Linked DNA regions of Tamandua tetradactyla. The protein of the gene in region 3 interacts with the protein of the main gene of each other region in a pairwise test. Links are inferred from orthologs where the notes say so. Each region holds a gene or a part of one and is shown on either strand. Other genes may lie near its edges. The genes, in order: CNKSR1, FOS and CYTH4.

Region 1 (9,911 bases), on a different chromosome or scaffold from region 3:
TGCTTGCAATAACTATACAATAATTTGATATAAAAATGTCAGTGATTTCTTTTGGTGACAAAGTCAGATTCTGCTAATACTTCAATCCATAAGTGAAGGAAATGGTAAATTTCAATTAAAGGTTACTGAGAATAAAGACACAATTTTTCCCGTCCAAATTTATAGACCCACTGAATTCTTAACCCCAGGTTAAGCGCTCTCATCTTAGAACGTCTGACATATAGGAAGTATTTGGAGTTATCATCTGCATCCTTACTCCTCATCCCAGGCCAGGGGACTTCCAGGACCTGGGAATTAGGAGGCCCAAGTCAGTTCCACACTCACATGCTGTGTGACTGAGCCCAACACATACACCTTCCTGAGCCTACCCCTTCCTCTCTAAAGGAGGGTGTGTTAGTTAGATTCAGTTGTCAACTTGGCCAGGTGAGCATACCTAGTTCTGTTGCTGTGGACACAAGCCAATGGTACGTGAACCTCATCTGTTGCTAATTACATCTGCAGTCGGCTAGGAAGAGTGTCTGCTGCAATGAGTGACGTTTGACTTAATTGGCTGGTGCTTAAATGAGAGAACGCAAGGTAGCACAGCCTAGCAGCTCAGCCCAGGCCTTTGGAGATGCAGAAAGAAGTCACCCCGGGGAAAGTTGTTGGAACCCAGGGGCCTGGAGAAAAGACCAGCAGAGACCATCCTGTGCCTTCCACGTAAGAAAGAACCTCAGTGGAAAGTTAGCTGCCTTTCCTCTGAAGAACCAACAAAATAAATCCCCTTTTATTAAAAGCCAATCCGTCTCTGGTGTGTTGCATTCTGGCAGCTAGCAAACTAGAACAGGGGGATACCCAGCTCTTAAGGCTGTAAGACTGGCTTCGACAGGCTCCTCTAAGCACTCTGAAATGTGTAACACAGGGGAGACTTGAGTCATTATTTCTGCTTTAATTTTATGAGGCCTGGGAGGCTTTTCCACAGTTGGTCCCTCCTAACGTCTCACCTACTTTGGAATCTCTATCAGCATCCCAACACCTGGCCTTCAAAGACTGTCATGATCTTGCCTGTAACCCAGAGACCTGGAGTCTGGATTTGGCCAACAGGTGACCCCTGCAGTGTTGTGTGTGTGCTTTTAAGTTGTTAACATTTAACAATTTCACATACAAACTGGGATCACCAGCTGCTCTGGAACTCTGCCAGCCTTGGCAACCCCACCCCACCTCTATAGGGCATCAAAAGCTGGAGGGATCAGTGGCTGCTTCCTTCATGTGTGACACCAGCTCTTCAGCTCCCCACAGGGCTTGCCTCCCTCTCAGTGAATCAATAGACTCCAAAAGTGAAACACCCCGTCACCTCTCTGGCTCTGTCCTTCACCTCCCGCCTTCACACCCTATACTGTTTGTGTCTCTCGAACACTAGTCCAAGCTGTGTCCTCCAACATTCTTGCCTCTTTCTTTTTTTTTTAACTTTTAAAATTTTATAATATAACGTATATACAGAGCAAAGAAAGAAAAAAGCAATAGTTTTCAAAGCATTCTTCAATAAGTAGTTACAGGACAGATCACAGAGTTTGTCACGGGCTACCATACCATCATCTCAGACTTTTCCTGCTAGCTGCTCCAGAGCATTGGAGGCTAAAAGGTATATACACATTTTTTTTCACTTTTTTTTTTGTGAAAAATAACATATATACAAAAAAAGCAGTAAATAGTAATAATTTCAATGCACAGTGCAACAGTTAGTTGTAGAACAGATTTCAGAGTTTGGTATGGGTTTCTATTCTACAATTTTAGGTTTTTACTTTTAGCTGCTCTGAAGATACTGGAGACTAAAAAAAAATCAATAAAGTGATTCAGCAATCATACTCATTTGTTAAACCCGACCTTTGTTGTACAACTTCATCACCTTTGATCTTTCTCCTACTCTTTGTGGATATTTGGGCTATGCCCATTCTAACTTATCAGAGAGATGGAACTAGCTGATGTTCTGAAAAGGCTGGCCCCTCTAAGTTACAGGGAGAACCTGAAAATTATAGGTTTTTTCTTCCCTCTTTGTACAACAGCCTCCCTGCAACAGTCTGGGGAAGGCCAGTGGATTCTAAAAGCAGCTCTATCTATTCCCTCCCCTTCCTGATTTCAAATACCAACCAGATACTGAGCTGGCATGATACCGAAATGAGAATCCCACCAGACTCTGCCCTCCCTGAACTCACAATCCTGTAGGAGAGAAAGAGGTGAGAATTTACCACCGCGCATTTATGCCAGTTACTTACCCAAAGGACAGGGGGCCTAACAACTGTAACAGTGCCCCTCTTCTGTGTCCTCGGCACCTGCCAGACACTTAGGGGCTCCATAAATGGCAGCTTCTATTTTATAAATGTTATGAGTTTATAAAATTTCTATAAATTTGCTGTAAAAATTTCAAAGGTAATAAAGGCCATTAAGTAAAAAAGGAGAATTCCTAGCATGATGCTGACCCATTCTCCAGAGAGGCCAGTATTAAATTTTCTGCACTAACCTTCCATTCTCTAAACACGCAGACACTCTATATACTGTTCTACAAATTATGAAATGCAAAATTCATAATACCAATGAAATAATTCAAGTAAAGGGCTTAGAGTAGCATCCAGCTCTGCCAGCCACTGCTTTTTAACATATCACATAGCCTTCTTAATCAGTAAATGCAAATCTACCTTTTCTTTTTCTTTTGGTTGCATAGTATTCACAAAATGAACGAAACACATTTAGTCATTCACCTAGTGTTTGGCACTGAGGCTATCTCTACATGTTCACTACTACAAGGAATGCTGCACAAACACCCTTGTACATACATCTTTGCTTAGCTGCACTGGTAATAGCTGTAGAGATTCCTAGGAGTGAAATTCCTGGGCAAAAGGTGTGGACTCTGCACACATTTTTTTCTTTGAGTCTTCACAACCCATTACAGTATTACTGTTTCCAAGCTAAGATTAGAGAAGAAATGGATCTGTCCCTGTGGGAACCCCATCATGGGAGAGGGGTGAAATGTACCCTCCCCCAGGGTAAGGGTGGTTGTTCTAGCAGAAACCACCAAGTGGAGAGGAATATTGCAGCTGGCAAGGGGACTGATAAAGCAAGCTTTGTTTGCTGAGAGCTGATTGGTGGCAACCAATCATCTAAGGTAGGGGTAGGGACTGGAGCCAGGGCTCAGGGAGGCCCTCCCAGTACCTGGTCCAGGCCTGGGACTCTTGGCACTGACAAGGCCTCTCCCGCCTACCAGGCTTGTCCTCCCCAGTGGGCAGGGGAGGGGCTGCTCAGGCCTGATGCTGATTTCTCCTGACAGCTGCACTTGAGGCTGGCAGGATGGGCAGGCAGGGGGAAGGGACTGGATTTAAAGGTCCCAGCTGCCCTACCCTCTGCCAGACGTGGGCGGGCAGGCACTGGTAAGCATCCACTGAGAGCATGTGCAGTGTGTGCATGGGAGGTCAGGGGCCACTAGACACTGACTTCCACTCCTAGGCACAAAGAACACCACTTATCCTCATGTCTTCACCTACCCCAACAGGCCCCCAGGGTGACCAGCACCCCCTTCACCATGCGATTTCGACGCCTGACCCCTGGCTACTTCCGGGTACTACAGGTAAGTACCCCAAACCTCTGGCTTCGGGGGGTACCACAGACCCCATCCTCCCCCAACCATAGTGAGGCTGACACCCGACCAGCTAGGCTGGCATATTCTCCGCAGCCTGAGTAGTCAGGACCTAGATGGGCAGTGAAGCGAGAGGGATTGGGGTGGAATCTCCCTGGGGCAGCATCTGCATCTCCATCCAGCTGTACCTTTTCAGTCCCTTCCCTCCCCTCACCTTCCCAAGTCTCAACCAACAGCCCAGGCATCTGTGCATCTCCAGATGCAAGTAGCTGGACTGCTGAAGGCAGAGCCCCGGAACCCAGTGGCTGGGGTTGTGGCCACACTGTTGGCTGTCCTCGGGCTGGGCAGCTCCTGCTATGGTGTTTGGAAGATGGTGGAGCAGCGACAGCCACCACAGGCCCCATGATGAAGTAGGCGGCCAGTCACCTGTGCCCTAGGGGTAAGTGACTCAGGGAGGGGATGAAATCTTGGGAGCTTCTTTCTTTCCTGGGGGTCAGTCTCTGCCCTCAGTATAGAATACACCTGATCAGAACTCCCTCCTCACTGCACCTGGGCTCTTTTAGGGGGCACCAGGTCATACGTCAGAGCCCCATAGAGAAGGGGGGGTGCAGGTTCTAAATGTTCATAAAGGAAGAGGTAGACATGCTGGGCCCTACACACAGGAGAGAAACCAGTACAAGGCAAGAGTTTGGGGGAGGCAGGGGTCTCTGGCCTCGAAGTCAGGAGTTCAGAGGCCAGACCTCTGTCCAGTTCCTTTATTGTGGGTAGGCACCCAGAAGCAGCCGTTTACTCCTCAAACCCAGGGTCAGAAGAGTCAGCACAGTTTCTCCCAGACTAGGCATCACTGTCCATTGGCAGTTCTCCTGCCCTGCATCCTCAGACCATGTCACGGAGACACGTCCATCTCGGGTATATCAGTGGACACCTCTGTGGGCACCGCCAGCCGTTGAGGAGGCACATAGGAGCCCATACCCGCCGCCCTTTCCGCCTCTGCTTGACTGTAGGGCTCCACGCTCAGCTGCTTCAGCCTGAGGAAAGGAGGGCAGGAGTTGGAAGCTGACTAGATGGGAGTCCTGCCTGCCCAGCCCCCAACCATCAATGCTCTCCATACCTTTTCTTGTGGTCCTTGGATCGGAAATGGGTCTTCAGGTTGGCGGAATCGACGAAGTACCTCCTGCAGGGATGGGAGGTGAGGTGGAGGGTGAGGAGGCGGTATCGCTCACGTACGCCTACGTCCCAGACTCCCGGCTCCCGCAAGCCAGCAGACCCATCGGTCCCAAGGAGGGAGATGTCGCGCGACCGGGGGCCCGAACTCGAGAGCCCGCCTCTTTTTTTCCAGACCGACCCCACCGAAACTCACGCGCAGGCCAGACAGCGATGCAGGCCGCCCCCTGGGAGGTCCGGGTCGGGTTCGGCATTCGGGTCGGGCTGGGGCCGCGGAGGACCTTGGGGCCGCAGCTCGCGGTGAATCTCATCCAGGTCCGGCCGCCGCCGCTTCGCCTTCATCTGACGGGCCAGTGTGTGCGCTCGATGCGCGCCCGTCCGGCGTGAGCGACCCATGCTGGGTCGCAGCCCGGCCAGGGGACCCGGCGGGGACGGATGTAGCACGTGTTAGCGCTTCCGGACCGCTCGATGACGTCACGCGACGCCCGGGGGCGGTGCAAGCTCCGCCAGACCGCCCCTGGTGACGTCATTGGCCCGGGCCGACTTGAGCGCCCCCAGGCGGCCGTCGATGTCAGTGTCGTAAACCCGGGGCGGGGGAGGGGGCAGACGAAGTGTCCTCCGTCCTGGCCTCGAGGTCCCCGGGTCAGTCGCTGGGCGGGAGCCGTGTGACTGGGGGACTCCTGGGGCCGGTCTGGCGGCTCTGCACGCTCCCCCCTCCCCCGGCCATCCCTGGCTCTTAGTGCCGTCCCCTGGCACTTTCACCCGTTAAGATTCCCAAACCTTAGACTCCGCGATGGGAGATCTTTTGAACGCCTCTGGGAAGCCGTTATGAATGTCTGTGATGTGAATAACTTAATAAATGAATGAGTCTGAATACATTTGAGAGCTCGGCGCCACAGGGCTTGCTGAGATCTCCAAGTCCCTGACACCTCTCACGGTCCCCTAACTCTCCCCTCAGGTCTCCACCCTCCGAAGCCGCCCCGGAGGTCACAGTAGTCAGGCATCCTGTCGGCCCAGGAGGAAATGCTCAGAAAAGGACCTCCCTATTATTGTCCTTTTTCTCTGAGCCGTGGACTCCCCAGGTGTGGGTTGGTAGCTCAGATGTTACACGCCAGAGAGCCTTTCCGCGTCCACCAGAGCCTGGTGCCTCTCCAGCTGGCCAGAGTCAGCTCCTGGGGCTAGGGCCAGAGGTGCTCAGCAATAATTCAGGGGCTCCAGCTCTTTGGAAACTGTAGCCAGGAAACAGGGACAGGCAGGTGCATCCCCAGGGAGAGGGAGTCAGTTTCCAGCCCAGACAAAGCAGTGAAATGTAAACCCAGGGTGCCGTCTGGGGCTTGTGGACCTTCTCACTTCAATTTGCAGGGGCTGAGTGGGACACTACTTGGGTGAGGGCTGCTGAGGGCCCAGCATGGCTACAGTCCTAGGGGCACCAGGATGGGACCTGCACCCAAGGACTTTGTGAATGAGAAAGAGGATTCTTCCAGAGCCATTCCAAGAGATCAGCCTCAGAGGGGAGAGATGTCTTCATTATTCTTGATCAAGATGGGTCAAGAGAAGAGCTGAGGTGATAGTGCCCGCTCTGTCTCACGGCCCCACCCCACTCCAGACTCCTTTGGATCAGGTTCAACAGCTGGGCACTGTGCCAGCTGAAGGAGGCTGGTGCATCTTTTATGAAGTTACCCGATCCTTGGGACAGCATCTTGGCCTCGCCATGTTTCTGGAGCCAGAGACACTGGGTGCCCACTGAGCCACCACCTTCCTGTGCTTGGCTGCCAGGTCTCCCCCTGCAGTAGCCATGAACCAGGCCTTCTGGAAAACCTACAAGTCCAAAGTACTGCAGACACTGAGTGGGGAATCTGAGGAGGACCTGGCAGAGGAGGTAGGTAGTATCCTGTTGGGTGGACCTGGGCAGAGGGACAGTAGGAGTGAGAGATACTAAGACAGCAAGGGGAAGGCTCTGAGATAGAGAGAGGCACATTGATGCAGAAACCATTGGCACATTCAGGGTGTGGCAAAAGGGACGGTGGAGTGTCAGATCAGAAAGCCAGGATATCCAAGAAAACTTTGGGAAAACTGGGGGAAAAGTGATGGGGGTGGGAATGAGAAGAGTGGTCCACAGTCTACAAAGATCTCGAGGGATGCCATGAGAATCAGAGGCAGGAATTGGAGTGATGTGGCTACAAGCCAAGGAATGCCAATGATTGCCAGCAACCACCAGACGTGAGGAAGACACACTTCTAGGATTGGTAGGCAGTAGTCACATGGGGTACATTTCGGTTTGACACAGCTTTCTAACAGGCAGAGAGCTGGGCAGAATTGGGATGGTTCGCCTCTAGAGGTAGCAAACCCTGTTACTAGAGGGAAGGGAAGTGGAACTTGTACTCTACTCTGAGGATTACTCTGAGGGCAGCATCGGATCAAAACCATACTTGGCCCAAGCTTTATCCTGACATAAAAAATCTAACAGTGATCTCAAACTGGAAACAGTCTTAGGTTAGAGGCTATGATAAATGGCAGTTGTGCAGACAGATGTGGCAGAGGCAGGAACTAGTCCTATGTACGAATACATCTCCAGACTGGCTACCATCCAACATTGGGCTTGCAAAGAAATACCCTTGGGAGGGTACTGGGATTGACTTCCATGTGCCATCCCCAGTGAAGGTATATGTGCAGGTATATACTAGGTACAGGTCTTTTAAGATGTGCACATTTGGGGCAGAATTCAATGTCTGCACACCTTTGTGTGTGTGTATGTGCATGCATGTGAGTTTGGGTATGTATTGGTTTCCTAGGGCTGTTATAAGAAATTGCCACAAACTGGGTGGCTTAAAGCAACACAAATTTATTCTTTAACAGTTCTGGAGGCTGAAAGTCTGAAATCAAGGTGTCATCAGGGCCATGCTCCCTCTGAAGGCTGTAGGGAAGAATCTTTCATTGTGTCTCGGCATTCCTTGGCTTGTAGCTGCATCACCCCAATTCCTGCCTCTGTCTTCCCTCTGTGTTTGTCTCTGCGGGACCTCTCCTGTCCTTATAAGGCCACCAGTCATTGGATTAGGGCCCACCCTAATACAGAATGACCTCGTCTTAGCTTGATTGCATCTGCAAAGACCCTATTTCCAAATAAGGTCACTTTCACAGTTCTAGGGATTAGAACTTCAACATATCATTTTGGGGCCCACAATATAACCCAGGAGTGTGTGTACATTTTTTGTCCTAGTGTCTGTGTGTGGGTGGAGAGGTTCTCGTGTGCTACAGGTGGGTCTCTGTAGAGCTGCCTGCAGTTTTATAAGTGTACATGTGGACAGGTGTAAATGGCATAACTATGTGCGTGTCCATGTACATACATCCATGTACAGATGTAAAACTCTGCAGCCAGGTGGAAGCCTGCTCATGTATGTCTACAATCAGCGTGCATGACCTTGTCCACATGTCTTCAGTGTGTATGGGTGTGGCTTTGTGTCGGTGGGTAGACAGGTATGTGTACTCAGGGTGTCTGCAGGAACTGACTGTACAGGTGTGCGTGTATGACTGTAGCTCTGTACAGAAGTATACCTGTATGTGTCCCCGTGCGTCCTTGTAGAAGATGTGAGATGTACAAGTGAGTGCTTACTCTCTGGGGTTTGGAGTGCCTGGTCTGCATGTGCCTGGCTTGCAGTGGGATGGCTCCCACTTCTCTGGAGCCTCTCTCATGCCAGGCGGGGGTCTTGTGTCCCAGAGGGAGAACCCAGCCTTGGTGGAGTCTGGGATGGCAGAACCGGCCGAAGAGGCCTTCAACCCCATGTCACAGCTGGCCCGCCGGGTGAGTTCTTTTCCCTTCTTCCACCCCGATCTGGTCCTGCCCCTGGGGAGCCTGGCAGAGGCTGCTGTGGAGCCCTGGTAGGTTGTCCCAGGGCCCTCTCCTGACTCTCAGTCCCTCTATCCTAGGTTCAGGGGGTTGGGGTGAAAGGTTGGCTGACCATGTCATCTCTGTTTAACAAAGACGACGAGGACAAGCTGCTGCCACCGGAGCCCTGTTCAGACCAGTATGTATGTGGGGTGTGGGGTTTGAGATCCCTTCTCCCTGTTCTTTCCATCTGGTCTGTCTGTATTTCATATCACAGAGGGCTAGGAAGGGGCAGCCCCTGCTGTTTTCCTTTCTCTAAGCAGGAAAGAGACCGAATCAGCAACACTATGAGATTAGGTTAGATCTCAGGAAGAACTTCTCAGCTGTTGGGATCGGGGTGCTAAAAAGTATTTATGGGCTCCTGAATCCCCTCTCTCTACCGTTCACATCTACATTGAGGGATCATTTCCTTAGAATCAACAACAGAAGAAAGAAACTTTAGGTATTTGGAAGAGAGGGTAGTTCAGATCAGTGGTTCCCAAATATCGGCCTCACCTTCACCCACTTCAGGAGCTTGCGACAAACATAAATTCAGGAACCTTGCTCAGGAGATTCTAATTCAGCAGGTGTGGGCTGAGGCCTGGGCGGTGTATCTTCAGCAAGCTCCTGGTTTGGGAACCACTGTCTTGGAAGGTCTTTCATGCTGTGAGGGAGGCCAGGACCAAAAGTCTCAGCCGTCTCTCTGCTATACACCCCATCTCTTTTTCACTCACACTCGCACACACACACACAAACACACGACTGCCCTTTGCCACTCCCCTATTCCTTTCTCCCCTAGGGACCCCTGACCCATCCATTCTTCCAGCCTTTCTTCCTCCCTCACCTTTTCCCCCTCACTCTTCTACATCTTCCCCAGACCTGAGCCTCAGGGTCCCTCCTGACTGTCCTACCCTCACATCTTTCTGCTGCCTCCCAGATTCTCCCTACACCCACCCTCCCACTCCCCCAGACCTTTGTTCTTGGCTTTTCTCCTTTCCTCCTGTCTTTCTCTCCAGCGTTCCCACCTTTGCTAGGCCCTCTTTTCCCCAGAGCCCCAAGAGTCTGGCTCCGCCCACGCCTCTCCCACGCACCCTTGGGACCCGCGCCTCTCTCTCCGTGCTCCAGCATGGGCTCTGCAGACCAGACGCTTCTTACTCCGCTCCTCTCCCAGAGACTCTTCCCCAAACACCTGACCCTTGCTGTGCCCGCGATCCGGGCCCCAGTCCCCTCTGGTCAGATCCCTTGCCTAGCCCCCAGACCCTGGGCCACCCGGTCCCT
Region 2 (10,140 bases), on a different chromosome or scaffold from region 3:
TTTTGTTATCATCCAAATCATAGCATTAGGAGGCTGGCAGTGAAGCGCCTAGCGTGCCCAGTTGAGCGTGGAAGCATGCGCTCGGGCTCTCAACCCTGGTGCCTGCTTTGTACTTGAGAGCAGGGGCGGGATGTCTCTTTCATTTGTAGTTTGTACATGGGCGTGTGACCGCCTGTTATTAGAGGCATCTCAGACAAAGGTCATGTTCTTCTCTAAGATGATAAAGCTCCTAAGTTAAAGCTTATTCAGAGTCATGTTGACTTTTCCTTATAGAGCTATTACATAACTTTTTATTTACCAAATGATCAATCATTTGTACTGTTGGTGATCTCTTTGAAACTCCCAGAGCTGACTTTTTCTTCCCCCAGTGTACAATGGATGTCAGGCATATGGTGTTAAAGAAACTTTAGAAATTGCGACACATACGATATGGGCTAAAGCCCTTGCTTCCTTCCCAGAATAAAACGAGTCCAGCTAAATGTATGTATACATTAGAGTTAAGGACGGAAAAGTGTTTTTTTTTCACTAAGTGAAAGCTTTTTTTTAACCGAATGTTAACCCATGACATGGTCTGATTGACAGGGTAATGAAGAAGTTTAGATTCTAATCCCAATAGTGGAATAGAGAAAGTCACTCATTCTAGCCGTTCTTCAATTAGCTCCTCCTCACATGATTTTGTGGGGATAAACTATTAAAGAGGTTCACACAAAGCTTAATTCTGTTTAATGAAAGGGTTCTTTAAGATCAAGATGCCTATAATATTAGCACAACTGGGCTTAAATATTCCCCCCTTCGACTATCAGAAGCAGAAACAAGTGTGCCCACAAAAAGTATTGCATAGGAGATGCTCCCTTCCCCCCTCCCACTGCACCCCAGTTGGTGAGTAGAGAATCTTAGCCTCACGATATGAAGATATATTTGTAAAATATTCCAAGATCAGTTCTGGAGTTTCCTTCTCCTCTTTGATAAGGGACCAGAAAGAGAGATGTGTCCCCCTCCACGAGCCACCCTTCCTGAAAGACAGGCCTCCAGTAAAACCTTTCTGATTCTTACAAAATGTCCAGAATGAAAAGAGCACAGGGTTTTTTGCATTCAACTTAAATGCTTTTATTGACAATGTCTCTGAACAATAAGCAAACAATGCTTAAATTTTTCATTCGAATTCACTTTCCACATGTCAAAAGACCTCAAGGTAGAAAAAAATAAAATAAAAATATAAATATCTGAGAATCCATCTTAATAAATAAATTAAAAACACAATAAAACGTTTTCATGGAAAACTGTTAATGTCAGAACATTCAGACCACCTCAACAATGCATGATCAGTAACATTACAACGAACATTGATGTTGGAGAAGAACTACAGTACATGGATGTCGCTATTTTTCCTATCTACTAGAAAATAAAGTCATATCTTTTCTTAGTTTAATATTGGTCATTTCTAATCAGAACACACTATTGCCAGGAACACAGTAGTTATCATTAAAATCAGCTGCACTAGATACAATTTGAAAATATCCAGCACCAGGTTAATTCCAATAATGAACCCAATAGATTAGTTAATGCTATGAGAAGACTAAGGAGAAAGAGGAAAGAGACACAGACCCAGGCCTGGCTCAACATGCTACTAACTACCAGCTCTCAGATGTGTCACTGGGAACAATACACTCCATGCGTTTTGCTACATCTCTGGAAGAGGTAAGGGCTTGAGTCCTCGCGTGGGATGCTTTCAAGTCCTTGAGGCCCACAGCCTGGTGTGATTCACGCACAGATAAGGTCCTCCCTAGGTCTACAGGAACCCTCGAGGGAAGACGTGTTTCTGCTCTCTGTAATGCACCAACTCAGGGAGTGGCACTTGGAGGTGCCTCCTGCCTCCCCTTCCCCGCCTGCTCACAGGGCCAGCAGCGTGGGGGAGCTGAGCGAGTCAGAGGAGGGCTCGTTGCTGCTGCTGCCCTTGCGGTGGGCAGCCGCACAGCTAGGGAAGGAGTCAGCCTCAGGGTAGGTGAAGACGAAGGAAGACGTGTAAGTAGTGCAGCTGGGAGTGCAGGTGACCACGGGGGTGCACAGGGGCTCCAGCTCTGTGGCCATGGGCCCCATCCCCAGGGAGCCGCTGTGCAGGGGCTCCCAGTCTGCTGCATAGAAGGACCCAGACAGGTCCATGTCTGGCACAGAGCGGGCGGTCTCAGAGCCACTAGGCCTGGACGATGCTGGGAACAGGAAGTCATCAAAGGGCTCAGCCTTCAGCTCCATGCTGCCAATGCTCTTGACAGGTTCCACGGAGGGCTTGGCCTCAGGGTCATTGAGGAGGGGCAAGCTGAAGGCCTCCTCAGACTCCGGGGTAGTAGCCTCCGGCAGGCCCCCAGGAAGATCAAGGGAAGCCACTGACATTTCTTCTGGGAAGCCCAAGTCATCAGGGATCTTGCAGGCGGGTCGGTGAGCAGCCAGGATGAACTCGAGTTTTTCCTTCTCCTTCAGCAGGTTGGCAATCTCTGTCTGCAAAGCAGACTTCTCATCTTCCAGTTGGTCTGTCTCCTGTATACAGAGGGATAAAGAAAAGCATAAGACACAGTCTTAATCAAGGACCCTGCTCCCTTACACCCCATCTCCAACTTTCCCCTTAAGTCTTAAAAAGGAGTGATCCATGGGGACCACCTACCGCTTGCAGTGTATCTGTCAGCTCCCTCCTCCGGTTACGACATTTTGCTGCAGCCATCTTATTCCTTTCCCTTCGGATTCTCCTTTTCTCTTCTTCTTCTGGGGATAACTAGAGTAATAATTTTTAAAACAGATCAACATCCAGTAACAGTGTCCAACATCACTTCCATCCACCCACTGCAGTGCAACTGGCTCCTGCAGCTTCCCAGCTTCCTGGCACCTCTTCTATGAAGCCATTTCTAACCTGCATTTGCAGGCTGGGTGTGACTTGCATTTAAAATAAGGGCCTCGGCAAAGGAACAAAGAAAAACCAGTCTAAATGCATAAGAGGGAAACTATAAAGGCAGAAATTATTAGAGTACTTCTTGGGGTGGGACGCTCTGGATCTGACTTGGGATGCAAAGGGCTTGGAGCCAGGGCTTCTGTTTGGGGTTGCCAGTCCATTTGATTAGTGGCTTCAACCTCTCGGCTGCTCCCCCATCTCCATCTTTCTGCACCCTCCGCTACGGAAAGAAGGTGCTGAAGAGCTCCTCACCTGTTCCACTTTGCCCCTCCTGCCAATGCTCTGGGCTCTGCCTCCTGTCGTGTTCTTCACAATGCCAGGCCTGGAATAAGCCGCTGCCGAGGAGGTGGGAACCCCATACGGGTGGGGGGCTCTAGTCTGCGATGGGGCCACCGAAGAGACCAGGGTGGGTTGCACCAGCCACTGCAGGTCCGGGCTGGTCGAGATAGCAGTCACCGTGGGGATGAAGTTGGCACTGGAAACAGCCAGATCCGTGCAGAAATCCTAGAACGAAAGAGAAGAGGGAAGCAAACGTGAGCAAGCCGGGTCCGGACACAGGTGGGGTGAGTAGAATTCCCAGCGCCACGTCCTGTCCTCTCATGTGTCCCTCATCCTGGGTAAAAGGGTTCCCCTTTTCGCCCCAAGAATTCCGCAGCACAGTGACTTTCTCCTCCATCCTGCTGCTGCGTTAGCGTTATCCCTTCAGCATCACTAGCTTGAAAGGGGGTTATAAATATCCCTGACGTCTACTCTGACGCAGGCGCCGCTCTGGAGTCTCCTGAATGAACTCGCTTTTTATCAATGAAACTGCCTTACACACCCGCCTGCTGCACCCTCTTCCCCCGCCCCTCCTCCCTGCTCCAGGCTACGAGGGGTGGGGGTGGCGGGGTGGGGGATTGTGGCTTTTTGACGCCTCCCCTGAGGCGTCAGGCTTTAGTTAGCGAGTCTGTTTGGAACACATTTGCCCCAGCACATGTCAGAGACCCAGCCAGAGAGCACTTGCCGGGGTCTACTAGTAATGAGCCCTCCGCGGGAAGAGGGAACCAATTCTTAGTATAGCAAGTGTGCGAGTGCTCAGAACGCTCGGGCTCCCGGGCTAGAGATGTTTCGGCCGCTGCAGCCTTTCTCCCCAGCGTCCCGCCCCGATGTCTCCTCCCCGGCGACCCCAAGCCCCGTGCCCAAGGAGGCACGATGCCGGCCTTACCTGCGCATTGACAGGGGAGCCCATGCTGGAGAAGGAGTCGGCAGGCGAATGGTAGTAGGAGAGGTTGTCCCCGGCTGGGGAGGCGCTGCTGCAGCGGGAGGAAGACGCCTCATAGTCGGCGTTGAAGCCGGAAAACATCATGGTCGCAATTAGTCAAAGCCGGCCGAGGGGCCGAAGGGCGGAGACAGGTGGGAGCTGTGGGACAGAGCTGGGTAGAAGCGCGGTCACTGCTCGCTCGCTGCGCCGCGGTCGCCGGCTGTGTCTCAGCTTCTCGGCTGCTCGCTGCAGATGCGGTTGGAGTACGGGGCGCCGCAGCCACCGCTTTTATAACAGCATTTTATGAATGAGCCCACGCGTCACGGCGCAACCATTTCGGCACTGGAGGGGTGACGCGAGAGTCTCGGCGCATCTGCCGCCGCCTTGCCGCCTCGGGCGTTCTCGCTGCCCCTGCCCTCGGTCTTCTTTTATGTCCTTATCCTGTGAGCGTTTAGTTCCCTGGGTCTTCGGGGTCTCTTGAGCCCCCAAGATGAGGGGCTTTGGGGATGGTTCCCCCCACGACCGCAGGGAACGGCCGTGGAAACCTGCTGACGCAGATGTCCTAATATGGACATCCTGTGTAAAGGGGGGAGGTATTGACGGGAACTGCTCGCAGGCAGCAGCCAACACCGAGGGTGCAGGCGGGGGGAGGTGGGGGCCGCGGCCGGGGGAGGGGAGGCGGGAAAGCAGGAGAACAGGAGCGAACTTTCGCAGCTTGTTCAATGCGGACCCTTGTTCCCGAGATGGGGGAGGGGAGGGGTGCTCCTCGTTACCAGTGGTACAGAAAACAGGGACAGTTCTGCGATTCAGGTGTAGGAGAAACAGGTAGGAGAAAAGCCCAGAAGGAATGCGCCCACCCCCATTCCCAATTCTAACCCTAATTCTCTGCAAAATGTGGAAGCCGACCCTCGTCCACCCGGACGGCGAGTCATACTAGGATTGTGACTGCGTTTGGAAGCAGAAAGTCGGGGTATCCAAAATAAGAGGATAAGATAACCTACTTTATGTATGATGCTTGGGGTTTTAATTTTATTTATTATTTTTGTTTTTAAGGAAGACGGTGCATATTTTTCTCGGTCTTATGTGAGACTGTTACCGTCACATCTCTAAGACACCAGCTGATAAACATTGTGCAAAACCTCTGGCAAGAGTGTCTGAAGGGGTCTTTGCCTCATTCTGAGCTGGTGGCGGGGAGCGCGTTATAAATGGGCGCTGTGGTCAGTTCAGGGTAACTTGGTGGGGGGAGCTTCTTTAGGGCGCGCAAGAGCGATTCGAGAAGGTGAGAGACTGGTTCAATCCCCGCCTAGAAGCTGGGCTTACTTGGAGCCCGCAGCGGGTGATTTTCCAGCGCGGATCTGGAGAGGGAGGGGCAAGGGTCCGGGCGCGCGGAGTTTTGTGCCCAGCAGAGATCTCCGCGGCTGGAGCCCCAGGCGCAGCTCCGCAGCCCGGAAAACGGGATTTCGAGGTGGCTAGGTACTTGGGTCGTGCCGCGCCCCCCAGACACCCTAACCTCCTGCCCCACTTGAAAAGACAGCGGGGTCACATCACTCTGGGTCGCCCCCAGCTCGCTGGCCACTTCTGGGGCGCGAAGCCCTTGATCCCCGCAAGAGTCCCGGCGCTCCCTTCCCCAGTTCCAGGGCCCGGGCAGCGGGCGGATCATTCTGGGCGCTCCCGGAGCTGGGGGCCGACCTGCTTCCAGCCGCCCGCACCCCGGAGCCAAGCGATCCTGCTATAGATAGTAACAGGGAAGCGGCTGTTTACAGCAACACAGCGCCGCCAGGGCGGTCTCCAGGCGACGGCGCGCGGCTGGGCGCGCCGTCCGCCTGGCTAGGCCGCCCTCCCTCTGCGCTCCCCCGGGGCCGTGGCCTCCCGGGCCCGGCTGCGGCCGCTGCCGCCGCCTGACATCATCCGCCGGGTCCGGGGGCTGAGCGAGGCGCGCGCGCGGCTATGCGCTAACCTCCATTCTTAGAGATCCGAACCCTGGGGGAGCAGGGAGGGCAGGGAGGCGGGGATTCGTGGAATTGGGCCACTTACTATTTTTGCATTCCCTGTCACAGGCAGAGGTGAAAACACAATTTCATCATTGTATGTCACTGGTTTATGTCGGTGGGAATTTAAGCTTTTTTTTTTCCCTCTCACTTAAAAAAAATAAGAGAGAATTGGAAAAACATAATATAGAAACACAGACTTCTTGGAGCTGTTCTGAGTCCTAAAGCAATTCTGAGACCTTCCAAACTACCTTCTGTCAACCTACTTTACTGTCCTTGGTTATTAAAAAATGTCATGAAGGCAAATCCATCTCTCTTCTTATTATTAGCTTTGGACAAAGTAGGTCAAGCTTTGAATTCCTGGGTCTGGCCTTGTCTTTGATTCACAACTGGATCTCAGAGCCACTTAAGAGAAAAACCTAGAATGATTTGATTTACTTCCCCTTCAAAGTTCAACCAGCTCAGACTAATACCTAAAAGACGTGTCAAGATTTTACATCCAGGATTAATACTATTCATCATTTATTCTGCCTTTGTCAATAAAAAGGAAAAGGGTCTTTGGGTGTGCCTCTCTCGTCCAGACAGCTTAACTCTTTCCTTCTTGGCACCATTATTACCAGAGAAGTGGATATTTAATAAATTCATCCTCTGAGAAGGACAGAACCAAGCACTCATTCGTTTATTTATTTGACAAAGAAGGATTGAGAGCCTCCTTTTGCTCAGCCCTGTGTCAGGGACCGGTGCTTACTGTAATAAACAGAGTTGGGCCTGTCTCCAGACCCTCCTGGAGATTCCAACCTCGTGGAGAAGACTGGCAAGTCAATTGAAAATTGTAGGACAGCAGTAACTGGTTTGACAGAGGGTAGCATAGGGTGCTACAGAACACAGAAGAGGGCTTGGGAAAAGGTCACAGAGAAAGTGACTGCAATACAGAGATGGAGCCTGGATCCTCTTTCCTCTGGGAAATTACATTATAAAGTTTGCAAAGGGCCAGAGCATCATCTAAGGAAGCTAGCACTCAACCAGAAAGAGATGTACCAGATGATACAAACTTAGACTCCCTCTCCCGCCCCACTAACATCTGAACCTGTGACTGCATTCTAGCATACTCTCACAACTCAGTCTACTCGTGATATTTCAGGACTGCAAAATCACATTTTTAAAAAATGGAGCTTGCACAATGTAGCCTAAAGATAAAGGCAAATCAGAACCAATGTGTGAAATTATCTTTCTCATTTGAAAAGTTAGGATAACTTTGAAACAGGTGTATCTCTGTGAGCATGGTGCTGCCTTCCAGCAGGCGGGCCTTGCAGGACGGAGATTCTGTGTTCTGGACAAGTCTGAGCATATAAAACCAAATCTTACATAGTTTGTGATGATCTGTTTGCTGAGTAACTCTTATTTGGGGATCCAAGTGTGAAAAGGAGTCCAGCATCTGGTTTTAACCCAAACTAAGCACAAATTAATTTTTCCTTAGCAGTATTTCCTTATCCAATACAGACTTTTCCTATTTTGCCCCCTCCATGTGGCATTCCCATTAAGAGACCTGAGCCTCATCAAACATTTTTTCGATAACTGCACATCGTGCGCATTGTTGAGCCTGGGGTTGTTGCAAAACTAAGTGAAAGGCTGCTGTCTGTGCCGCCTACGTAAATGCTGCCGTACACAGCCCGTCCCCAGCATGCAGAAGTAGCTATTTATTTGGGGAAGTGTGGTCTAGTGGTGAAGGGTTGTGGTCAGAGCACGGGACCAAAAGTCAGGAAGATGCGTACACAAAAATCAACTCTTTCAGGGGCTTGGGGAAGTCACTTCTTAGTCTTGTTTAGCAGCTATGTACTTTTGGACTTTGTCTTTTTCATGTGTCACTGTTCACATGGCACTTAGCACAGTGTCTGGCACTAGTAGGCATTCAATAAATATTCATTGAGTGGATGAATAAATGAATTGAATAAATGATGCCCCCCACCCAGGCGAGGTGAACAACAATGGTTGTACTTTGGGTACCCTGAACTCAAATAGGTAACGTTCTTTAAATCTTTGGAGTGGCTGAACAGGCTGTCTTTTACTCTTGGGTATGAATAGGCAAGAACTGGGAAAGAGAAAATAGCAAGATGTTTGGGCTATTTTCAGCTGGTGCAGCCACTGTGTATAAAGAACACCCCAGCAGTTCATGATGAAAGGTCATACATACCCTTGTTTCTCAGTCCCATGAGGAAGACAGCCAGTGCCCATACATCAATACCACGTTGTCTGCAATGACAATGACTGTGTTACTGCCACCCCCTAATTTATTCTTTCTGAAATGTCTGGTCCCTTTAAGCATTCAATAATTCTTGCAAGGCTCACACACACGTGAGCAAAAGGAAAGGCCTTCAAGGTCAAGGTTACTCACCCTATGGCTCAGACTGTGGGCAGAGAGATTGCCCCTATTTCAAAACAGTGGAGGCATCTAATTATCCACCCCCCTAACCCCCCCTCCCCCCCCCCACACACATATATGCCAAAACTGATTAGTACTAGGGATTCGCTTCTTTGGGAAAAATGATGTTTTCATTCTGAACAACTCTTGGCTTTTTGACAGGAGATGATGATTCAATGGGATCCCCATCCTTCTGCTAATGCCAGCATTTAAACAAAGCTCTGTGTGGTCCCTGGGACACATTCCATCTGGAGCTGAGGAAACTAGGGAACAGCTATGGTGTCTAAGATGAACATACTTTAGCCCAAAACCCTGGCCTCTTTCATCCCAATTGGCAGTATCAGGCAATCACCCTGTGGGTCATGCTGAATCTTGCTGAAGAAACAAGAGCTCTTCCCCGACAGACAAGCAAATCTTCTCCAGGTTCTCAGCACCTTAGGTGTCCTGAGCTGATCTGCAATTCTGGTGGACTTAGTTTCTGGGATTCCAGAGGAGCCCCTTCCACGTCACTAAACCTATAGGACAACGATACACCCTGACTAAGAAACATCAGCTGCACGGCCCCCATTCAACGTGGGAATCTCATAGTTGGGCTGGGCAAGGGCTAGGGTGAGCAGAACAGGCTGTTACATGATGTGTACCAAGGTGCTAAGGCATCCCAGGTGGAGCTTATACCATTTTATCTACTTACTCGACAAGAAAGATCTTTTTTTTTTTTTAACTTTCTTTTATTAATTAAAAAAAAATTAACAAACAAAACATTAGATATCATTCCATTCTACATATATAATCAGTAATTCTTAATATCATCACATAGTTGCATATTCAGCATTTCTTAGTACATTTGCATCGATTTAGAAAAAGAAATAAAAAGACAACAGAAAAAGAAATAAAATGATAATAGAGAAAAAAAAACTATACGTACCATATCCCTTACCCCTTGCTTTCATTTACCACTATTTCAAACTGAATTTATTTTAATATTTGTTCCCCCTATTATTTATTTTTATTCCATATGTTCTACTCTTCTGTTGATATAGTAGCTAAAAGGAGCATCAGACATAAGGTTTTCACATTCACAGAGTCTCATTGTGAAAACTATATCATTGTTCAATCATCATCAAGGAACATGGCTACTGGAACACAGCTCTGCATTTTCAGGCAGTTCCCTCCAGCCTCTCCACTACATCTTGAACAACAAGGTGATATCTACTTAATGCGTAAGAATAACCTCCAGGATAACCTCTCGACTCTGTTTGGAATCTCTCAGCCATTGACACTTTGTCTCATTTACTCTTCCCCCTTTTGGTAGAGAAGGTTCTCTCAATCCCTTGATGTTAATTCTCAGCTCATTCTAGGGTTTTTCTCAGTCCTTTGATGCTGAGTCTCAGCTTATTCTAGGATCTCTGTCCCATCTTGCCAGGAAGGTCCACACCCCTGGGAGTCATGTCCCACGCAGAGAGGGGGAGGGTGGTGAGACTGCTTATCATATTGGCTGGAGAGAGAGGCGATATCTGAGCAACAAAAGAGGCTCTCTTGGGGGTGACTCTTAGGC
Region 3 (9,941 bases):
CAGCCCGCTTCCAGGACAGCTGGCCTCGTTTCCCCTTTCCAGGGCAGGAGGAGGGAGCCATCCTGGGGCCCTGAGGGAAGAGGCCCCACAAAGTCTCAGCATGGGGGGCACCGGGGCAGAGGGGGGTGGTGTCTGGTGGAGCTGCTCCACGCCCCAGCCCTGGAGGTCCTGCGGGCGCCACGTGTGACTTCCTCTCCCCAAGCTGAGCTGCTTCTATTTTTAACCATGGCCTGTCCTTTGTACCAGCCAAATGCTTGTCTTGGGTCATTTTGGAGTACTGTTACCTGGCCCTCGTCACCTTCCCAGCAGCCCTGGGGGAGGAGTCCTGACCTGCTTCTGGGATGTCACACACCCATAGTCAGGAGATAGCCCTGGGGGGACCTATGTCATCATTCTTTCCATTATACAGGTGGAAAAACTTAGGCCAAGAAGGAAGCAATCCATCATGGCCACCATCATGTAGCTGAAGAGCTGGGACCAGAGCCATGTGATGGCTCCAAGTCCCTGTTCATTCCCTGCTTCTCCAGGTCAAGCTGGGCTGATGCATCCATTTACAGATGATGAATCTGATCTCAAGAGGGGAAGTCACCTGATCATGGTGAGTGGGGGGTGGGGGATGGGGGAGCTGCAATTAGGATCCAGTCTGGGTAACAGAGGAATGACCTACCTTCTACCTCCTCCAAGAAGTCCTCCCAGATTGCCCCTCCTAGGGTAGGAAGAGTCGCTTCCGCCCACACTTCAGGCTTGTGCCCGTTTGCCATCTGCCTAGGTCAGAATCCTACAGGGTGTCTCGCCCTCCCCCATGTCCTGCACCAGTGGCTCCCTACTGTCCCCAGCATTGCCCAGTACAGGACCTGGACACCCAGGATGGGTTATAAAACAAATGAATGAACAAACGAACAAATCATCGGAGACCCAAATCTTCCAACAGACCACCTACATTGCCCCCAGTCCATTTCCTCTCTCAGGCCAGTGTGAAGCACAGCAGTGACTCATCTTCCGGCCTTCCCTGGAGGCCCCTCCCCTCCCTTCTCTCTCCTACGGCCAGGCGAACCTCGGGCTCTTTCTTTTCCAGCATACCGGTTCTTGTCCCTGCTCTGCCACTTCCTGGCTATGTGACATTGGACAAGCCAGGCCTCTGGGGGCCTCGTTTCCTCATGTGCATCATGGGGACAGTCATCCCTGGTCCTAAGGACTTCAGCCTGTTAAACTGCAGAAGAATGAAGCAATAACGGTGGAAAGACAGGCCGTGGGAGGGGGGAGGCAGTTCTCAGCAGGATGTCATCACCGCCCCATCTCACCTTCACGTCAGCTCTGCCACTCATCTGCTGAGTAACCTTGACCCAGACACAGCCCCTTGCTGGGCCTCTTCTCGCCTCCTAATACCCACCTAAGACACATTCACTGAGCTGTACAGTCTGAGCCATCTGTCCCCAAAAAGGCCACAGGAGAAGCAGGGGTGTCAGGGAGAGAGCACTGGACAGAGCGTCAGGGGACAGGGGGTGTGGCCCTTCTCTCGGCCTCCTCTGACACATCTGTCAAACGGGAGCTTTTGAAATGGGCCAGTGTTTCTCTAACTGTGTTCCCTGGAGCCCTCCCTGGTCTACTTCATGGGAGGTGGTGGGTGGGACGTCCAGAGATGGGGCCAGAACTGCTCAGTCTGTGTTGCATTTCGTTTGAAGAAAGGGTACTGTTGCTAAATGAACTGGAAGTCATCTCAACTTCAGGAACTGGACAGCTTCTCCCAGCCCTTATGTTCTGGAATTCCAGGCAATGCTGGAAACTTCTGAGACTCAGGATGCAGGGACATGTCCCTCTTCCAGCCCTTCTTTCTGCCTCATAGGGACACAGCCTTGTCCCATTCTCTCCCAACTTCATAGCCTTTTTTCCTCTTTCACCACAGAACTGGGGAATTTCTCAGCCACGGCCTCTCCCCAGCCCCCACCTCCCCCTTCTCATTCCAGTTCCCCTCCTTTGCCTCTGAGCAGCATCTTTGGCTTCCCCAAAAGGCCTCAGGGCCCTTGCACCGACCAGACAGATGTCACTATCATCAACACCATCATCACCATTACACAAGAAGCCTGTCTCGGTCCCAAATCTGGGCCTTCGTGCTGGCTGTCCCCTCTGCCAGGAAGGTTCTTTCTCCAGAAACCACATGGGCTGCTCCCTCCCCTCCCTCAGACTCTGCACTTTTGTCCACCACATTCATCACCAGCTGACATATTAGAACAGATTTATTGTCCATCCTCCTGCCCCACCCGCCCCCGGGAGAGCCAGCCCATGAGGGCGAGGGGGCATTTTGCCTGATTTGTTAATAGCTCTACCCCAAACTGGGACACAGCTTGACACCCACCTGGAGCTGTTGGGCTTCCCAGATACTTTACATCAATTCACACATTTAATCCTTCCAGGATCCTGTGAGGCAGGCACCATTCTTCCTATTCTACAGAAGAGGACACTGAGGTCCAGAGAGGTTGGCCGTCTTACCCAGGATCACACAGCGAGAGAGTGGAGGAGGGGACTTATGACCAGGCCTGGGAGCCCAGAGTCGCCTTGGGGTCTCAAAAGTCCTGGAGGCCACTGAAGAAACCCCCTGGCCAGGTCCAAGCCAGTCCAAAGTCAGAAGAGCCCACCAGTGTCCGGGGCCTGGTTCCCTCTTGCCCATGAAGCAGTGAGCAAGCTATTTACCTGCCCAGCCTCAGTTTCCATTTCTGTTAAACGAAGCAACAGTTCCTGCCCCCACCTTTTTATAGAGACTGCGAAGCTCACATGAGATAAGACAACTGCCAACCCTTTCTGGATGGGAAAGACTATTTTCTAGGGAACGGAGGGCAAGGTTACCCCTTAACAGGTGGGGATGCTGAGCCCCAGGGTCAGGTGGGCTTGCACAGAGCCCCCAACCTCTGTGCCCTGAGTGCTGAGTGCTCTGTCCTATGCCTGGCCTGTCTTGGTGCACGTTGTGGCCGAGGAGCTCAGGGTGGCCCCAACTCCGTGGACTCCCCCATGTACAGGTCTCTGAGTGCAGAGTCCAGGGAGGGGACCCAAAGCTGACTGGAGGTGGGGTGGGGCAAGCCTGGGTCTGTGAGGGTCTGGGGGAGGGGTGCAATGGAGGCCCGGGCCGAGAAATGCAGTCTGGGACTCCCAATGTGGGGCTGGGATGCCCACCCTGGGCATGTGCCCCTCCCTTCCCACCTCCCCCATGTCAATGCCCTCCTGGGAGGATGCTCACCCTCTCAAACTGGCCATCCCCTCCCCTCCAAGAGCTGGTCTACCCCGGGCACAGTGCTGGGATCCTCCTCACAGGTGCCACCTGTCCCTGTGGAACCCCTCTCAGCCCTCCACACGCAGCTTCCCACTGTCCACCGTTTCTCACTGCACTGCCTGGGAGGTAGAAGGACGGTGGCAGGAGCCCCCGTTGCAAAGTTCTAAATTTGATTCCTCCTGCCTCTCTGAGCCTCTGTCCCCACCAGCCCCAGTCTTCTCTGCAGGCCCTTTGGCGTCAACTTTGTCAGTCCTGCTGAGCATTGGCGGGGGACAGGGGTGCTCGACAGGAGGTATGTCTCGGCCTGTGCCCTCCGGACTCCCCCTGCCCGTCCACTGTCCTCCTCATGGAGCTGAGGTTGTCACTTGCACGCACCTACACACTCACAGCCTTCCCCGCAGCCCCTGCCCTTCCAGGCGCTTACCTGGCTGACACAGGTCCATTCTGAAGCCCCCAGGGAAAGGTGGCCGTGCTACTGTGGTCTGCCGACCCAGCTGCTGCTCAGACTGGCCACCAGGGATGCGTCACCCCCACTGCCAGACCCTGTCTGGCGGCCCCGCCCAGCCCTGTGTGGGGAGGAAGTCCTGGCCCGGCCCGCGGGGTCTGCCGCGCAGGCTCTCCACGCAGCAGCACTTCCTAAAAACCAGCAGTTTTGAGTAGCCTGGGTCCTTTGCATTTTGGGTGTAAACAAGGGAGAAATAGAAAGGAAAGAGACAGAGAGAGAGAGGAAAAGAGAAGGCAGCGAGACAGAGAGAGAAAAACACTCACAAAGAGTGTGACAGCCACTAGCAGACAGAATCTGCTCTAGGACGCAATACACATTTATGCAGCAACCCCCCCTACATATAAGCCAACAGACCATGCAACTTGAACAGGTCAAGCCTGACCCCGGGTATTCCGGTCCACAGAATTTCCTTCACCAACTTCCACCTGAGGGAAAAGTAAAACAAAACGAATTCAGTGCTAGGAAGGGCTCTGTTTCCTCTCAAAGAAATGTCTGCCTTTTTCTTGTCTAGTGACCAATTGGGTAATGTGTTCAGTTTCCCTTTCCCCCTAGGCTGCTGGGAAACTCACAGGCAAATCTGATGTTTATTTATACCTGTTCTATTAAAGCATGTAGACTTTGGGGTCAGGCTCAGCCGTTTGACTCTCAGCTCTGCCACGCAGGACCTGTGTAAACTTGGGCAAGACGCTGACCTGCAGTGGGCCTCAGTTTGCGCATCTATAAAAGGGGAATAATTATTCTCACTTCAGAATTATGTAAGAGACAGAGTGAGATAATGTGTATAAGGTGCTGGAATGTAGCAGGTGCTCAAGAAACTCTATCTTCTTTTTCTCTTTAGAGTTTTTAAAATTAATTAAAAAAATATATGGCAACAAACTCAAACATTCGTAACTTATGATCATTCCATTCTACATATATAATCAGTAATTCACAATATCATCACATAATTGCATATTCATCATCATGATCATTTCTTAGAACATTTGCATTAATTCATAAAAAGAAATACAAAAGACAACAGAAAAAAAATTCATACATACCATACCTCTTACCCCTCCCTTTCATTGATCACTAACATTTCAATCTAAATTTATTTTAACATTTATTCCCCCTATTATTTAATTTTATCCTGTATGTTTTATTCGTCTGTTGATAAGGTAGATAAAAGGAGCATCAGACACAAGGTTTTCACAATCATAGTCACATTGTGAAAGCTATATCATTATACAGTCATCGTCAAGAAACATGGCTACTGGAACACAACTCCATGTTTTCAGGCAGTTCTCTCCAGCCTCTCCATTACATCTTGGATAACAAGGTGATATCTATTTAATGCGTAAGAATAACCTCCAAGGATAACCTCTCGACTCTGTTTGGAATCTCTCAGTCATTGATACTTTATTTTGCCTCATTTCACTTTTCCCCCTTTTGGTCGAGAAGCCTTTCTCAATCTTTTCTAGTTTGCTAGCTGCTGGAATGCAACACACCAGAGATGGATTGGCTTTTAATAAAAGGGAATTTATTTCATTAGTTCTTCAGAGGAAAGGCAGCTAACTTTCAACTGAGGCTCTTTCTTATGTGGGAAGCCTCAGGGTAATCTCTGCTGGCCTTCCCTCCAGGCTTCTGGGTTCCAACAACTTTCTGTGAGGTGATTCCTTTCTGCATCTCCAAAGACCTGGGCTGAGCTGTGAGTGCTGAGATGAGGTATGCCGCGCTGCTTGGGCTGTGCTACATTGCGCTCTCTCATTTAAGCACCAGCCAATTAAGTCAAACGTCATTTATTACAGCAGGCACTCATCCTAGCCGACTGCAGATGTAATCAGCAACAGATGAGCCTCAGGCACCATTAGCTCATGGCCACGGCAACAGAACTAGGTGCCTTCACCTGGCCAAGTTGACAACTGAATCTAACTTCCACTTGTCTACCCCTTGTCAACTTGGCAACTTCATGCATCACCTTAAACAATATTAAGGTGCAAAAAATTTTCTTCTGGCTGCGGACCTGTGAATCTCAAAACAAGTTGTCTGGTGCCAACATGCAAAGGAGGGACAGTCACAAGATCTATAGGGAGAAATGGGAAGGAAAATCTACAGGGCAAACACCACTGGATTTCAAAGTCTGAAAGTAATTTATCCTTCAGCTTTAGAAGGTGGCAGTCCCACCCTTTCCAAGGGCTTATGCAGTGGCCTGCCTCCTTCCAAATCAACCTTGGGGAACGTTGAGGAGATCACCTTTTTCTTGTTTCCACTCTCTCCAGGCATCGGGGCCACCCTTGGGCTCTCTGCCATTTCTGGGGCACACACTCAACCCCTCCATGTGGTGGCAGCCAGGCTCTCCCCAGTCCCCCAAGGAGTGTGCTGTACCTTCTCCAAGGCCTGAGGCTGCACTACTCTTCCACTACAACGAGGTGGGAGACTCATTCTCACCCTTCAGGGTAAACTCATCCTCTCCATGTATATGGGTGGACTTCCACTCACCAAGGCTGACTTGGCTGCAGCCACTGCTGAGTGCCCAATCTGCCAGCAGTGGAGAGCCACACTCAGCCCCCGATATGGCACCATTCCCCGAGGTGACCAGCCAGCTACATGGTGGCAGGTTGATTACATTGGACCACTCCCTTCATGGATGGGACAGAGATTTGTTCTAACTGGAATAGACACATACTCTGGATATGGGTTTGCTTTCCCTTCACGCAATGCTTCTGCCAAAACTACCATCCGTGGGCTTACAGAATGCCTTATCCATCGTCATGGTATTCCACACAGCACTGCTTCAGATCAAGGAACACACTTCACAGCAAATGACATGTAGGAATGGGCACATGCTCATGGAATTCTCTGGTCCTACCATGTTCCCCATCGTCCAGAAGGAGCTGGATTGATAGAATGATGGAATGGCTTTTTGAAAACTCAGTTATGGTGCCAACTAGGTGGCAATACCTTGAAAGGCTGGGATAATGTTCTCCAGGAAGCTGCATATGCTCTGAATCAGCGTCTGCTGTATGGTGTTTCTCCCATAGCCAGGATCCATGGGTCCAGGAATCAAGGGGTGGAAATGGGAGTGGTACCACTCACTATTACCCCTAGTGATCCACTAGGAAAATTTTTGCTTCCTGTCCCTGCAACCTTGAGCTCTGCTGGTCTACAGGTTTAGTTCCAAAGTGGGGAGTGCTTCCACTAGGAGAAACAACAATGATTCCATTGAACTGGAAGTTAAGACTGCCACCTGGTCACTTCGGGCTACTTATGCCACTGGATCAACAAACCAAGAAGGGGATTATATTATTTTCTGGGGTGATTGACTCTGACTATCAGGGGGAAGTAGGACTGCAACTACACAATGGAGGTAAAGAAGAGTTTTCTTGGAATATAGGAGATCCCCTAGGGCATCTGTTAGTACTACCATGCCCTGTGATTAAAATCAATGGAAAACTGCAACAACCCAATCCAGGCAGGACTACCAATGGCCCTGAAACTTCAGGAATGAAGATTTGGGTCACCCCACCAGGCAAAGAACCACGGCCAGTTGAAGTGCTTGCTGAGGGTAAAGGGAACATGGAATGGGTAGTGGAAGAAGGTAGTGATAAATATGAACTTTGAGTATGTGATCAGTTACAGAAACGAGGACTGTAATGCTGTTTTGTTTATGTTATACTATTTAAGTTGTAAGATATCAAGTTTAAGAATGAATGGCAGGACGCTTGCCTGCCATGCCAGAGGACCTGGGTTCGATTCCCGGAGCCTGCCCATGTACAAAAAAAAAAAAAAAAAAAAAAAGAATGAATATTACCCAAGGATTTGTACCCTATTCTGGAGAGATTTAATGTGTTTCCAGTTATATGTAGGACCATTGAGTATTGTTAGGTAAAAGAAAAATGTGTGTTTTATTGTTTTTTATTTAGAAATTAGGTATGGTTTAAGATGGTATGTATAGCTGCCAAGTTGACAAGGGGTGGACTGTCATGGTCAGGTTCATGTGTCAACTTGGCCAAGTGGTGGTACCTGTTTGTTTGGTTGGGCAAGTGCTTGCCTGTCTGTTGTCATGAGGACATTTCATAGAATTAAGTCATGATCATGTCAGCTGCATCCACAGCTGATTCCATTTGTAATCAGCCAAAGGGGAGTGTCTTCTGCATTGAGTGATGCTTATCTAATCACTGGAAACCTTTTAAGGAGGATTCAGAAGAGACAGTCTCTCTTCCTGCTTTGGCTGGCGAGCCTCTTCTGTGGAGTTCGTCCATACCCTCCATCGGAATTGTCGGCTTCACAGCCTGCCCTGCGGATTTTGGACTCTGCATTCCTGCAGTCACGTGAGACACTTTTATAAATTTTATATTTGTGAGTGTTCCCTGTTGATTCTGTTTCTCTAGAGAACCCTAACTAATACACAATCCCTTGATGCTGAGTCTCAGCTCCTTCTAGGACTTCTGTCCCACATTGCCAGGAAGGTCCACATCCCTGGGAGTCATGTCCCACATAGACAGGGGGAGGGTGGTGAGTTTGCTTGTTGTGTTGGCTGGAGAGAGAGGCCACATCTGAGCAACAAATGAGGTTCTCTTGGGGGTGACTCTTAGGCCTAATTTTAAGTAGGCTTGACCTATCCTTTGTGGGGTTAAGTTTCATATGAACAAACCCCAAGATTGGGGGCTCAGGCTATTTATTGGTTGTCCCCAGTGCTTGTTAGAATATCATAAATTCAACTTGGGGAAGTTGAATTTTTCCCCTTTCTCACCATTTGCAAATACTTTTTAATTCATTGTTCAAATCACTCTGGGATTTATTGGGGCATCACTCTGGACAAACCTACAAAATCTCATGCCCTACTCAAGGTTCCATATACTTATGGTGTTCAAGTAAGCTGTCTGCATAAGTTATATTAGGAAATGCACTAGTCAAAATATAAATTTTGTACCAAATAAACATTTTTTGCTTTAGTCTCACACATAAGGTGAAATTTTAAAATATTAATTACCATCTATTTTCAGCACCCTGCAGTAATAACATTCCTTTGTTCTTCCTCATGCACAAACATTTTTAAAATTTGTACATTTAGTCACTATTATTATATACTCTAAGCATCCCTAGGGTATACCATCTCAATCTTTAACGTCTACCTTTCTTTCTGATTTCATTTATGTCCCCAGCCTTCCTCCCTCTGTCATTCTCACATGCAGCTTCATTCAGTGTTTTACCATAATTGTATTACAGTTAGGTAGTATTGTGCTGTCCATTTCTGAGTTTTTATATCCAGTCCTGTTGCACAATCTGTATCCCTTCAGCTCCAATTACCCAATATCTTACCCTATTTCTATCTCCTGATGGTCTCTGTTACCAATGAAATTCTCCAAGTTTATTCACTAATGTCAGTTAATATCAGTGAGACCATACAGTATTTGTCCTTTAGTTTCTGGCTAATCTCACTCAGCATAATGTCCTCAAAGTCCATCCATGCTGTTACATACTTCATAACTTTATTCTGTCTTACAGCTGTATAATATTCCATGGTATGTATATGCCACAGTTTGTTTAGCCACTCATCTGTTGATGGACATTTTGGCTGTTTCCATCTCTTCACAACTGTAAATAATGCTGCTATAAACATTGGTGTGCAAATGTCTGTTTGTGTCCTTGCCCTCATGTCCTCTGAGTAGATACCTAGCAATGGTATTTCTGGGTCATATGGCAATTCTAGATTTAGCTTCCTGATAAACTGCCAAACTGCCTTCCACAGTGGTTGTACCATTTGACATTCCCACCAACCGTGGATAAATGTGCCTGTTTCTCCACATCCTCTCCAGCACTTGTCATTTTCTGTTTTATTGATAATGGCCATTCTGATGGGTGTGAGATGTTATCTCATTGTGGTTTTGATTTGCATTTCCCTAATAGCCAGGGAAGTTCAGCATCTTTTCATGTGCTTTTTGGCCATTTGTATTTCCTCTTCTGAGAAGTGTCTGTTTGGGTCTTTTGCCCATTTTGTAATTGGGTTGTCTGTCTTTTTGTTGTTGAGTTGAACAATCTCTTTATATATTCTGGATACTAGACATTTATCTGATATATCATTTCCAAATATTGTCTCCCATTGTGTCAGCTGTCTTTTTACTTACTTGACGAAGTTCTTCAATGCACAAAAGTGTTTAATTTTGATTAATAAGTGTTAGTCATTAATAATTA

The links.
Region 1: the proteins of CYTH4 (region 3) and CNKSR1 interact in binary tests that used the Homo sapiens proteins (3 or more experiments, as listed by UniProt). The two-hybrid records come from large-scale screens. The link is inferred for Tamandua tetradactyla from reciprocal best matches to the Homo sapiens genes CYTH4 and CNKSR1.
Region 2: the proteins of CYTH4 (region 3) and FOS interact in a two-hybrid assay, tested with the Homo sapiens proteins (2 studies listed by BioGRID and IntAct). The two-hybrid records come from large-scale screens. The link is inferred for Tamandua tetradactyla from reciprocal best matches to the Homo sapiens genes CYTH4 and FOS.

The regions. Positions count from the first base shown.
Region 1 is NC_135328.1:200,015,561-200,025,471, forward strand, and holds the start of CNKSR1 (connector enhancer of kinase suppressor of ras 1), read right to left. Parts: upstream 4,177-9,911; 5' UTR 4,014-4,176; coding exon of another isoform or gene 3,867-4,013; 5' UTR 3,599-3,866; coding exon of another isoform or gene 3,554-3,598; 5' UTR 1-3,553. Other genes in the region: transmembrane protein ZNF593OS, read left to right, coding at 3,554-3,598, 3,867-4,013; ZNF593 (zinc finger protein 593), read right to left, coding at 4,494-4,635, 4,719-4,781, 4,968-5,167; C2H1orf232 (uncharacterized protein C1orf232 homolog), read left to right, coding at 6,567-6,650, 8,487-8,570, 8,696-8,793. UniProt on the Homo sapiens protein: May function as an adapter protein or regulator of Ras signaling pathways.
Region 2 is NC_135338.1:34,376,645-34,386,784, reverse strand, and holds FOS (protein c-Fos), read right to left. Parts: upstream 4,458-10,140; 5' UTR 4,284-4,457; coding exon 4,143-4,283; intron 3,443-4,142; coding exon 3,191-3,442; intron 2,765-3,190; coding exon 2,657-2,764; intron 2,533-2,656; coding exon 1,891-2,532; 3' UTR 1,083-1,890; downstream 1-1,082. UniProt on the Homo sapiens protein: Nuclear phosphoprotein which forms a tight but non-covalently linked complex with the JUN/AP-1 transcription factor. In the heterodimer, FOS and JUN/AP-1 basic regions each seems to interact with symmetrical DNA half sites.
Region 3 is NC_135333.1:29,586,883-29,596,823, reverse strand, and holds the start of CYTH4 (cytohesin-4), read right to left. Parts: upstream 3,804-9,941; 5' UTR 3,706-3,803; coding exon 3,687-3,705; intron 1-3,686. UniProt on the Homo sapiens protein: Promotes guanine-nucleotide exchange on ARF1 and ARF5. Promotes the activation of ARF factors through replacement of GDP with GTP.